Caenorhabditis elegans: one gene and its partner. The protein of the gene in region 2 binds, or shares a complex with, the protein of the main gene of each other region. Each region holds a gene or a part of one and is shown on either strand. Other genes may lie near its edges.

Region 1 (8,146 bases), on a different chromosome or scaffold from region 2:
GATTGGTGGCCTAGGAAATCAAAAGAGTTCGGCCACCAAATTCCAAAAACCACCGAGAATCCGATTTTTCGACTAAAAATTCGGTTTGTTGGCCAAAAAGTGGGCAATATTCCAGTTTTTGAAAATTAATTTGACACGTGGCCTAGAAAACCAAAAAGTTCGGCTACCAATTAGTTTTTGGGTTCAAATTTTGCAGAGAACTCGATTTTTTTAATCAAAAATTCAGTAAAAAACACAAAAAAAAACGTTAAAGTTCAAAAAATGACCTTATTCCCAATCGGTGGCCTAGAAATTACAAAAGTTCGGCCATCAGCCAAAAAACTCGGCCACATGGGTAAAAAGGTCCGAAAAATTCGATTTTTCAGTTTTTTTTCACTGAAAATCACAGAAGCATCGATTTTCGGGGATTTTCCAGCTCAAATTGCACAAAAATTCAGGTTTTTGCAATTTTTGAGTTCAATTTTCAAGAAAATGCCAAAAATGTCAAAGTTTCCGTTCTTGACTTTCTAAAATCACAAAAATTCCCTTAATTCCGATTGGTGGCCTAGAAATTGCAAAAAGTTAGGCCACCATCATTTTTCGGCTGAAAATTGGCAAAATGGGTTAAAAAACTCGGGGTTTTCCACATTTAAAGAAAAATGTTCGAAAATTCCTATTGGTGGCCTAGAAAGTAAAAAAGTTAGGCCACCAACTTTTTTTCGGCTAAAAATGCTTAAAAAATTGTCTATTTTCGCGGAATTTGCTGGATTTTCTTGCAAATTCTCTAAAAATTGGCAAATTTCTCGAGTATTGGGTAGAATTTCACGGGAAATCTCAATTTTCCGGTAGAAATCCGAGACCTTTTCAAAATCAGTGTCAACTTCGACAAGCCAAGCTTCCAATTCTTCTCCACGGCCCATTAATTCCATTGCAACCATAATACTTGATAATCCAATGACATGTGGTGGAAAAATCAATGAAACATCACATCTTAGCGAATCATTTGCCACTTTTTGACATTGAGCTTCAATTGCTTCCAGATCTGCAAAAAAATGGAGGTTTTTTGGTGAAAAATTGGATTTTTTAGTGAAAAATTGAAAAAATTAGAAATTTTGAATTTTTTAATGAAAAAATGGAAAATTTTGGATTATTTAGTGAAAAATTGGAAAAATCGAATTTTTTTGAATTTTTTGGTGAAAAATTGGATTTTTTAGTGAAAAATTGGAAAAATCGAATTTTTTTTGAATTTTTTGGTGAAAAATTGGATTTTTTAGTGAAAAATTGAAAAAATTAGAAATTTTGAATTTTTTAATGAAAAAATGGAAAATTTTGGAATTTTTAGTGAAAAATTGGAAAAATCGAATTTTTTAGTGAAAGATTGGAAAATTTTGGATTATTTAGTGAAAAATTGGAAAAATCGAATTTTTTTGAATTTTTTGGTGAAAAATTGGATTTTTTAGTGAAAAATTGAAAAAATTAGAAATTTTGAATTTTTTAATGAAAAAATGGAAAATTTTGGATTTTTTAGTGAAAAATTGGAAAAATCGAATTTTTTTTGAATTTTTTGGTGAAAAATTGGATTTTTTAGTGAAAAATTGAAAAAATTAGAAATTTTGAATTTTTTAATGAAAAAATGGAAAATTTTGGAATTTTTAGTGAAAAATTGGAAAAATCGAATTTTTTAGTGAAAGATTGGAAAATTTTGAATTTTTAGTGAAAAATTGGAAAAATCGAATTTTTTTTGAATTTTTTAGTGAAAAATTGGATTTTTTAAGTGAAAAATCTAATTTTTAAGTTAAAAATTGGAAAATTTTGAATGATTTTGGGAAAAATTGAAAAAATTGGAAAAATTTGAATTTTTTGAGAAAAAAAAAAGGAAATTTCTGAAATTTTTTAGGGAACAGTGGAATTTTTTTGATTTTTTTTTTTTGAATTTTTTGGTGAAAAATTGAAAAAAATTGGAAATTTTTGAATTTTTCAGTAAAAAAGTGGAAAATTTGGAAAAATTTAAATATTTAGTGAAAAATTGGAAAAATTCGATTTTTTAGTGAAAAATTGGAATTTTTTTTTGAAAATTTGAATTTTTTAGTGAAAAATTGAAAAAATTAGAAATTTTGAATTTTTTTAATGAAAAAATGGAAAATTTTGGAATTTTTAGTGAAAAATTGGACAAATGGATTTTTTTTTGAATTTCTTAGTGAAAAATTGGATTTTTTAAGTGAAAAATCTAATTTTTTAGTTAAAAATTGGAAAATTTTGAATTTTTAGAGAAAAAAAAGGAAATATCTGAAATTTTTTAGGGAACAGTGGAATTTTTTTGATTTTTTTTTTGAATTTTTTGGTGAAAAATTGAAAAAAAAATTGGAATTTTTTCGTGAAAAATTAGGATTTTTTTTGTGAAAATTCAGTTTTGTTTTAAAAACATTTTAAATTTTTAAGAAAAAAATTCCGAAAAATTCTTCGAAAAAATTGAGGTTTCCTAATTTTTGGCATATTTTTTGTAGGGGAAAATCAAATTTTCTTCAAAAATTGAATTGCAAATTTTCCACTTTTTTACTGAAAAATTCAAAATTTTCCAATTTTTCACGAAAAAATCCCAATTTTTTTCAATTTTTCATCAAAAAATTCAAAAAAAAAATCAAAAAAATTCCACTGTTCCCTAAAAAATTTCAGATATTTCCTTTTTTTTCTCAAAAAATTCAAAAATTTCCAATTTTTAACTAAAAAATTAGATTTTTCACTTAAAAAATCCAATTTTTCACTAAGAAATTCAAAAAAAATTCGATGTTTCCAATTTTTCACTAAAAATTCCAAAATTTTCCATTTTTTCATTAAAAAAATTCAAAATTTCTAATTTTTTCAATTTTTCACTAAAAAATTCCAATTTTTTCCAATTTTCCCCTAATTATTCAAATTTTTCCAAATTTTTCACCCAAAAATTCCAATTTTTTTTCAATTTTTCACCAAAAAATTCAAAAAAAAAATCAAAAAAATTCCACTGTTCCCTAAAAAATTTCAGATATTTCCTTTTTTTTTCTCTAAAAATTCAAAATTTTCCAATTTTTAACTAAAAAAATTAGATTTTTCACTTAAAAATCGAATTTTTCGCTAAAAAATTTAATTTTTCCAATTTTTCACTAAAAATTCCAAAATTTTCCATTTTTTCATTAAAAATTCAAAATTTTCCAAATTTTCCACTTTTTTACTGAAAAATTCAAAATTTTCCAATTTTTCACTAAAAATTCCACAATTTTCCATTTTTTTCACCAAAAAATTCAAAAAAAAAATCAAAAAAATTCCACTGTTCCCTAAAAAATTTCAGATATTTCCTTTTTTTTTCTCAAAAAATTCAAATTTTTCCAATTTTTATCGATTTTTTTCCCAATTTTTCCTGGAAAAATCGCAATTTCTCCAATTTTTCACAGTTTTTATCAAAAATTTCCCGGGGGGGGGGGGGGGGGCACCTTTAATAGGTTGATTAGCAATAGTTGATTGTTGAGTAAATTGTTTCAAATCTTCTAATAATTCAAACATTGGACGTGATGCATGATGTACAACAAGGCAACAATCAAGAATTTCAACGAGAATAAACTCGGAATCGTAGACAACTCCATTTTTTGTCGATGTCGTCTCAAATGTCACTCCCCATCGTTTTGGCACTGAAAAATGAAGGGATTTAGGGGCGCGAAATTTGAATTTTTGAGGGGAAAATTTGATTTTTAGGCGATTTTTTGGACTAAAACGGGTTTTTTATCGAATTTTTGACGTTTTTAGTAGAAAAATTGAATTTTTGAGTGGGAGATTTGATTTTTTGGCGATTTTTTGAAGTAAAACGCGTTTTTTCGGACAATTTATGGGTTTTTTAGTAGAAAAATTGAATTTTTTAGCGGAAAATTGGTTTTCAGGCGGATTTTTTGGAGTACAACGGGGTTTTTTCCCGAATTTTTTGAAATTTTTTGCATTTTTAGTAGAAAAATTGAATTTTTTAGCGGAAAATTGGTTTTCAGGCGGATTTTTTGGAGTACAACGGGGTTTTTTCCCGAATTTTTTGAAATTTTTTGCATTTTTAGTAGAAAAAATTGAATTTTTGAGAGAAAAATTGATTTTTAGACGAATTTTTGGACTACAACGGGTTTTTTATCGAATTTTTGACGTTTTTAGTAGAAAAATTAATTTTTTAGTGGGAAATTTGATTTTTTGGCGATTTTTTGAAGTAAAACGCGTTTTTAATAGAATTTTTCGAAATTTTTAGAATTTCTAGCAGAAAAATCGAATTTTTGAGGGGAAAATTGGTTTTCAGGCGGGTTTTTTTCGAATTTTTTGAAATTTTTTGCATTTTTAGTAGAAAAAATTGAGTTTTAGACGAATTTTTGGACTAAAACGGGTTTTTTATCGAATTTTTGACGTTTTTAGTAGAAAAATTGAATTTTTGAGTGGGAGATTTGATTTTTTGGCGATTTTTTGAAGTAAAACGCGTTTTTAATAGAATTTTTCGAAATTTTGGGTATTTTTTAGCATAAACATTGAATTTTTGAGTGGAAAATTGACAAAATTCTGTTGTTTCTGCTGAAAAACTGGTTTTTTAAAAGAAAAATTGAATTTTTGATTAGAAAATTTGATTTTTAGGCCATTTTTTGGCCTAAGAAGAGGTTTTTATTCTAATTTTCTGTGATTTTTAGCGTTTTTAGCAGAAAAATTACATTTTAGACGGATTTTAGGACTAAAAAGGGGTATTTTATGAATATTTTCTGAACATTTCGGCGTTTTCCGCAGAAAAATTGAATTTTTTAGTGGAAAATTTGATTTTCAGGTGGATTTTTGGACTAAAACGCATTTTTGGTCGAATTTTTTACAATTTCTGGCGTTTTTAACAGAAAAATTGAATTTTTGAGGGTAAAATTGATTTAAGGCGATTTTTTGAAGTAAACCGGGTTTTTAATTAAATTTTCTTAAGTTTTTGGTTTTTTTAGCAAAAAAAAGATGAATTTTTGAGTGGAAAATTGATAAATTTTGGTTTTTTCTGTCGAAAATAGATTTTCAGGCAATTTTTTTGAAGTGAAAACGAGTTTTTTATCGAATTTTTGAAATTTTCGGCGTTTTTAGCGAAAAATCGAATTTTTCAGGTTAAAAATTGACAAAATCCGATTTTTCCACACAAAAAACGATTTTTAGACGAATATTAGGACTAAAACGGGTCTTTATGGGTATTTCCTGAACTTTTAACCGTTTTTAACAGAAAAATCGAATTTTTAAGTGGAAAATTTGATTTTTAGGCGATTTTTTGGACTAAAACGGGTTTTTTTCTGGTAAGTTGGGCGTTTTTAGTTTTTTTAATTAAATTTTTCTGAAAATTGGCCGTAATTTTTTTATTTTTGGCGTTTTTAGGAAAGCATCGAATTTTTGAGTGAAAAAGAGGCAAATTTTTCGAGTTTTTCGAGTTTTTCAGCTTAAAAATCGATTTTCAGGCGATTTTTTGGATTAATAAGCGGAAAATGAGCTGCAAGAGTGGAATTTCAAATTTTTTTGAGACAAAACTTGACTCAAAAACTGTTTTTTTTTTTTGGTTATTGAGGTGATTTTTAGAGTTTCTAGCTGAAAAATTTGGATTTCAGCGGTTTTTAAGTGAAAAATTGATGTTTTTTCCGGGTGTTTTTTCGGTTCAAAAGCCTATTTTTCACTAAATTTTCCAATTTTCAGCCGGATTTCCGCGTTTTTCTGCCAATTTTTTGCAATTTTTCCGTCGTAAAAACGCACAAACGATAGCTGTATTTTTCAGAAAGCTTGAGACGCTCAACGTAGTGTGTTCTTCAACTTTACACGCTAAAAATAATGCTGTAGAGGCTACGAGGAATGGGCACATGTCACGGAACGATTGCCTGAAAAATTCGACGTTTTTCCAGGTTTTTTATCATTTTTTTCCGAATAAACCTTAGATAAAATCGCTTAAAATAGATAATCGCAGTTGCAATAACCTGTTGACGGAGTTTACATCCAACATTTGCCTGTGAGTGGGCTCCTTCTGTGGCGACGGCGGTTATAACTGAAAAAAAACCAAAAATTATCGATTTTTTCGAGGAAAAAGTAAGGAAAAATTACAATTCGCCCAGAAAATATTCAATCGATTGTACTCTTCCTCGTTATAAATCTTCATATCCTCGGCGCGTTGCTTCCAAATCTCGGTTTTATCGAAAATCCATTGTTGGCTGGAAAAAATGGGATTTTTTTGGGTTTTTCAATGGGATTTACTTACCAATGACTGCTTTTCCAGAAATTTAAAGCCATTTTTCAACTAAAATCATTAAAAAAATGAAAAAATCGAGAAAAACAGTGGAAATTGAGTGAAATCGATGAAAATTCGAATAAATAAGAATAAATTCGGAGTGTGGATTTACGGTAAAGAACACGCGCCTGCGGGATTCCGGAGTGTCGTTGTATGTCTTTACGCGGTAGTTTAAATCGATTTTTTAAAGCTGGTGGATTATGGCTAGTTTAGAGGGGGTTTTGAAGTTTTTTTTTGTGAAAAATTCAACAAAACGTAGTCAAAATCCTTCTTCTGTGTTAAAATTCAAAAAATTCCATTAAAACCGAGACAAATCGAAATTTTTCTGCAAAGCCACAATAATTAATAATAATTTGGCTCATTTTTCAGAGTTTCTCATGAGTTTATGATTTTTGTGTCAAAATGCTTCCAATTTGCTTTAGGTTTATGTCAACTACATTTCACCCGTCTCCAATCCCTCTGACCACTTGAACTTTCACTTTTTCCCGAAACTAGGCGGAGTCTGGCGGGGGTGCTAGTGAAAACTATCCAATATGACACAGTCACCCATTTCTTGGATGAAAATCCGGCAATTTTGTTTGCAAAACTGAGCAGAAATCATCATTTGATAAGAAATTCGCACCTTTTTGACCTTTTTGACGCTGTAGTCACTGAGCAAATAGAAAAGTGGTACAAATTGGCTGGAAAAAGTCGTATAAAGGAGCTTTTTGGGGAGTTTTAAAGTGTGAAATTGGCTTTGTTAGGTGCTAATTAGTATATTGGAGATTTTAGGAAAAATTTAAAATTTTCGAAAAAAATTTTTTTTTTCGAAATTTTTTTTTCAGAAAATTTTTGTTCGAAATGTTTTTTTTTCAAATTTTCAGATTTCCAGCCAATTTCTTCGTCTATAAACATGTCCATCAATATGAATGCCAACTTTTTGAAGCTTCTCACCCATTTTCGGCGTCACGATTTGGTAAGTTGAATTTTTTCCCAAAAATTTGAAATTCCGACCTATTTTTGTTTAAGTCTTAATTAATGCAATAAAAATGCGAAGATTTTTCTTTGTTTTGTTTAAAAAAACATTTTTATAGCTTAAAAATGAGCAAAGTTATAGGATTTTTTCTAAAAATTTTTTATTCCAAAAAAAATTTTATTTTTTGAAATTTTCAACATTTTTTTAGTACGATTGTAACTTTTTATTTGAATAAAATATTTATCTACAATCTGCTTTAAAAATTATAAAAAAAATCTTAAAAATGAGAAAAGTTATGGTACTTTAAAAAAAAAAAAACTCAAAAAAATTTTTTCAAAAAAAAAATTTTTTTTTTTCAATTTTTTTTTAAAATTCCCCCCCAAAAGTACATTTATTTCTTATTAATGTTATTATGTACTATCACATCTTATCAGTACGAAACCCTTCGTGTTCTTCTGTTTTATTGAAACCAACGGAATATAAGGTGACGAAATGAATTTGACCTACTTTTTTCTGTTATTTGCGCCGCCGCCGAAAATTGGTGAAGAACAAATAATTATTGTGACCTTGTTAATGACAATGTCAATAATAGTTTTATAATAAGAAAGGTATTTACTTTTCCGGAAAAAAAAAATTGAAAAAAAAATTTTTTTGAAAATTTTTTTTTTTGGAAAAACATCAATTTTTTTTAAATTTTTTAACTTAAAATTAGTATCAAAATCAGATTCGTCGTCAAGTTCTACCCCTGAAACACTTTTTTCCGACTTTCCTACGCTAAATTCAACTTTCGCGGGATACTGTAGCCTCAAAAGTACGCAAACACTTCAACACACCAGATCTTACGACAAAATGCAGAAAAATCAATATTTTAACGCAATGTCATGCTTAAAACTGAATTTTCCGCAATTTCATAGGCAATTTAAGCATTTAGT
Region 2 (4,521 bases):
TACAACTTTTTTCGTTTCATTTTTTTCTTAATATTTTAAAAATTAGAGGATTCTCTTTATCAAAATACTAATTTTAAGCATTTTAGATGGCAGAAACATTAGAAGCTGTAGAAGATGCAGTGGACATTCTTGAAAAAGAGGTAGCGTACACACATCCTCGAAAAGTGGCCGAGAAACAAAACATTTTAATTTCAGATGCTCTCCTTCTGCAACCTGATTCCAGTTAACTCTTGGGGATTTGATGATGATGTCAAAGAATCATTGAAGATGCGAAAACACAGTTTGGTTAATCGACAACTCAGCAAAAGTAATTTATTGATAAATTTCTTTAAAATTCTGTATGTTTTTCAGAGGAAAGAAAGTCAATGTCTGCACAACAGAAACAACATCTGGCGAAAGGCTTAGGATTGGTTCCAAACACTGTTCAAGAAGTCCTCGAGTGGATGTCTAAAAGCAAGCAGCATTCGAAAGTGCAACCACAAAAGGTTGTTGCACCGGTGAAGAGACCAGCGGATCAGAACAAGAATAAAGAAAAAGTAGTGAAGAAAGACCAGAAAAAGCAAGATAAGAAAGCTGATTCTGATTCAGAAGAGGATGATTCATCTGACGACGAGGAGAAAGAAGAAACAGACGAGCCAGTTGCTAAGAAGCAAAAGAAAGAAGAATCTTCAGATGATGATGAAGACAGTGAAGATGGAGAAGAGCCTGAAGGAAATAATGGAGCTGTAGAGGCTGAGGACAGCGATTCAACGGACGAAGAAGAAGAAACACCATCTAAACCCAACAAAACCGTAGCACAATCTACTCTGAAATCGAATGGAAAAATTGACAAGGAGATTCAAAAGTTGGAAGACGATGAAGACAATGAATCCCCCGAAATCAGACGTCAAATCGCTTTGCTGAGACTGCAGAAAAAGCTGAAGGAAATGAAAGTTGAGCGGAAAGGAAAAGGACCGGCGAAGGTAACATCAGCGATGGCTGAAAAAATGGCAGAGGAGAAGCGTTTGAAAAGACGGGAGAGCAAGCTGAAGCTGAAACAAAGAAGAGCAGAGGAGAAGAAAGGAAAAGAGGCAGCAGCTCAAGTGAAGAAAGAGACTGTTGAAAGCACAGAAAATGGCAATGAGCCTGTCGAGAAGCAGAAATCTGGAATTTCATTCAATAATCTCAAGTTTGAAATCAAAGAAGACAAGCAGAGGGGCAAGAAACAAAGAGTGAGTAAAAATATTTTTATCTGAAATATCTGAAATTTTCAGACCGCCAAAAAAGATCGAGCTCTTAAACTTACCGGACGTGACTATAAATCACTTATCGCTAAAGTCGAAGAGACAAAAGCAACAATTGCCAAAGTTCGCGAAGCTGATCCACATAAGGCTACCATCATGGAAGATGAGCTAAAGTGGGAGAAAACACTGAAAAGAGCAGCTGGTGGAAAAGTGAAAGATAATTTGGGAATGCTCAAGAAGGCTTTGGTGAAGAAGAATAAGATGAAGGATAGAAGAAAGCAGAAATGGGAGAACCGAGAGAATAAGACGGAGGGAGAGAAGCAAACGGTATGTTGATTGGTAGAAAATCCTTTAAGATTTGAATTTTTATTTTTCAGAAGCAAGACAAGAGAAAGAAGAATCTCCAGAAGCGCATCGATGACGTCAAGAAGAGAAAGATGAACAAGTTGAGAAACAAGGGAAGAATCCTCTAAACAACACACATTTATCCGCTTTTAATTTCTCGTTGTTGAACATTTTTTTGTTAATTTTTACTGTTAACTTTTTTCTTTAAATCTGTGGCCTGTTGTTAAGTTTTTAAGTTTTCAAATTATACTAAATTCTTTGAAAAATATTCTCTTTTTTTTTGAAACTTGTGCCGTTGTTTCGGTAATTAATTATTTTAAAAGTTGTTAATGTATGTTCGATGGTTGTATTGTTCTAGATCTCAAATGGCAGAAACAGATGAACGAAGTCTACGGGATTTGCTCCTGGAATCTGCAGATGATTTGGAGCATATTGTTAAAATGGTACGTTCTAAAAAAATTTGAAACAATATTATAGTTTATTTTAAAATTACTTTTTACTGTGAGTTCATCTTATAGAATTCATGAACCCACATAATCAATTATTGTTTCAGATCGTCGATACACTCATCAATCGGGACAAAAGTGTTATGCTGAAAAATGGAGAAACCGTTACGAACATTATCAAGCTGTTTGACTCAAAACAGGATAGCATAAAGACTTTGCTGAAGAGGGTTCCTGAGTTTCAAGAACGAGAGCAGCTCATTCGGACGCTTGAAGCCCACGTGGAGAAACGAGACGAAGTTATTCAACAACTTGAAACGAATTTGAAGTCATGTGAGGTGGCTCTGACGCGATCTTGTTTTCATGTAAATTTTGTTGGAAACAAAGACTTTTTTCGAAATACGTTTATTTCAGGCAAACCAGAAGCTCAAGCAAATGAAAGAAGCTGAATTGAGACCAGTCAATAGTGAGATGCTCATCAAACTGGCTCATCAGATCAGTAAGCACAACTCCGTATCTGCACCACTCACTTGGCAAATGGGAGATCCATCGCGTCCGTTTCCTCAGGAACACGAATTTCGAGCTGGTCACCTATTGAATTCAAAAGTTCAGAGCACTGGACCTCAGCTTTTACCCGGAAAGAACGTCGCTCAGAGGCCGCTTATTACGGTATGTTTATGGAAACTTGTTGAAATGTGAATCCTCACCTGAAATATTTGATAAATGCATTTATAAATGCATTTATATAAATGCAATACTTCTAATGTTTTCTACGTTAATCTGAAATTCTTTTCACACTGTAACCGAACAGCTGTGAATCACGTGATTTATGTCTTATCTTCTTACATTATCTAACAGTCATTCCTTCTAATGATCAAATTATGAGTGATAAGAAATATTCAGTTCATATTGTGATCTCTTTCCTTCTACGTTATTCGTAGTAAATTTTATAAATAAAATTAAGATTCAACGTTCAATCAATATTATTTCAGTCTCCATCCGCATCCTCATCCAACGGTGGAACAGCTCCAATTCGAACTGTCGGCACTCCTCTTATTAATTCTGCTCCGACTGGAGATTTCAGTCCACGAACTGGTTTTGGCACCGACGAGCCTCCACCGATTCAACAGCAAGTACTCCGTGGAGCCACTCCAAATGAAAAGCAATGGCAGAATCCGGGAGTTTCAGGAGCCACCTCAACGCAATCCCCTTACAACCGTGTCTCGCAGGTCAGTGCAAACCGAGTGTACATAGACAGTGTTACTGGCGGCCCGCAAATGATGCACGGGTGGCGCAGTGGTAACGCGTTTGCCCGTTGTTCAGCTGTCCACCAGTTCGATTCTCAATGCACACAGAAAGTCGAGATTGCCGGCTTCAAAGGCTTTATCGTTGATTACGTGTGCTATAACAACGCCATAGGTATCATTCTTCGTCTTCTTAGGCGCGGAACATCTAAATATGGCTACATTTATCTGCTATTTTATAATTTTCCAATAAATAACATATTTTCAGAGTCCTTCTTCCTCGCCAAACGTGAAGCTGAAAATTACTGGACTTCCGAATCGTCCAGGAGGTATCGATCAAGTTCAAGATGTGCGGGATGTCGAACAAATGTCGTCGGACAGCTCCAACTCGTCAGATAGTTCAGATGATGAAGGCGCATCGAAAAAGACTGGCAGTAGCAATAAATAATGAAAGATCTCTGTAAATTCTGGTATTTTACTTATTGTACGTTGATAAATAAACACAATTTTCTATATATCTTGTGTTTAACAGTGACACTAACTGATTGCATGTGGTTCAGTGTCCACGCCATGTTTACCGCTATGCCAGCTGCCTTTCTTTCTTTCTTTATGTCCTCTAATCTATTTACTCCTTGAACTTTTTTTTCAACAATTCTAGTAACTAATTATATTTAGAAATATGCCAAATTTTGGAATATACCTAAGTTAGCTTTTGATTCAAATCTTATTTTAAAAAAACACTCACCCCATCTAGAGACGCAGAAACGAAAGGGACCACCCATGACAAGAGAGATGCGGAGTACGTGAAAAGATGCACAAAACATGTTGCAGTGAAAGTGTTGTTAGCCATCACTTTTTTTTGTTTTTGTGGGCTCAAATCAGTTTGAAGAAAAGTTGAAGTTGTAAAATTTCGCCTCCTTTCGTTTTTTATGTCATTTTATATTACTTGCCCTTTGGTAATAGATAAGAAATTATCTCTCCCATCAGACACATTCCCACACATCTTCTTTTGACTTGCCTCCACACAACTAATCTAGATATAGATGGGCGGTCCTGATTCTTGAATACAATACATGTGGAATGTTTTGTTTCGGAAGGATTCTTCAAGATTTCATTTGAATTTTCTTAATTGAATTAATACTTTCTATCTTATTATACTCTTAAATTTGCGATTTTTCGGCAAAAAATACTGCATCTGGTCTCGACAAAGCTTTCTTTAATTTGTTGTTAAATACAAACGGATGTGCACCTTTAAAGAGTACTGTA

Evidence for each region.
Region 1: mdt-4 (region 2) and cic-1 share a complex: the UniProt entries of both Caenorhabditis elegans proteins name them as parts of the mediator complex.

Annotation. Positions count from the first base shown.
Region 1 is NC_003281.10:2,394,948-2,403,093, forward strand, and holds the start of cic-1 (Cyclin-C), read right to left. Parts: upstream 6,275-8,146; 5' UTR 6,262-6,274; coding exon 6,230-6,261; intron 6,183-6,229; coding exon 6,076-6,182; intron 6,020-6,075; coding exon 5,908-6,019; intron 5,856-5,907; coding exon 5,734-5,855; intron 3,639-5,733; coding exon 3,444-3,638; intron 1,022-3,443; coding exon 840-1,021; intron 710-839; exon of another isoform or gene 660-709; intron 1-659. Other genes in the region: Sterol 4-C-methyltransferase strm-1, read left to right, coding at 7,152-7,214. UniProt on the Caenorhabditis elegans protein: Component of the Mediator complex, a coactivator involved in regulated gene transcription of nearly all RNA polymerase II-dependent genes.
Region 2 is NC_003280.10:4,941,355-4,945,875, reverse strand, and holds mdt-4 (Mediator of RNA polymerase II transcription subunit 4), read left to right. Parts: upstream 1-1,926; 5' UTR 1,927-1,933; coding exon 1,934-2,011; intron 2,012-2,121; coding exon 2,122-2,376; intron 2,377-2,425; coding exon 2,426-2,680; intron 2,681-3,003; coding exon 3,004-3,240; intron 3,241-3,356; exon of another isoform or gene 3,357-3,523; coding exon 3,524-3,703; coding exon of another isoform or gene 3,704-3,713; 3' UTR 3,714-3,769; downstream 3,770-4,521. Other genes in the region: SURF6 homolog gldi-11, read left to right, coding at 87-140, 196-307, 352-1,211, 1,254-1,550, 1,601-1,696; ZK546.19 (uncharacterized protein), read right to left, coding at 3,558-3,713, 4,001-4,105. UniProt on the Caenorhabditis elegans protein: Component of the Mediator complex, a coactivator involved in the regulated transcription of nearly all RNA polymerase II-dependent genes.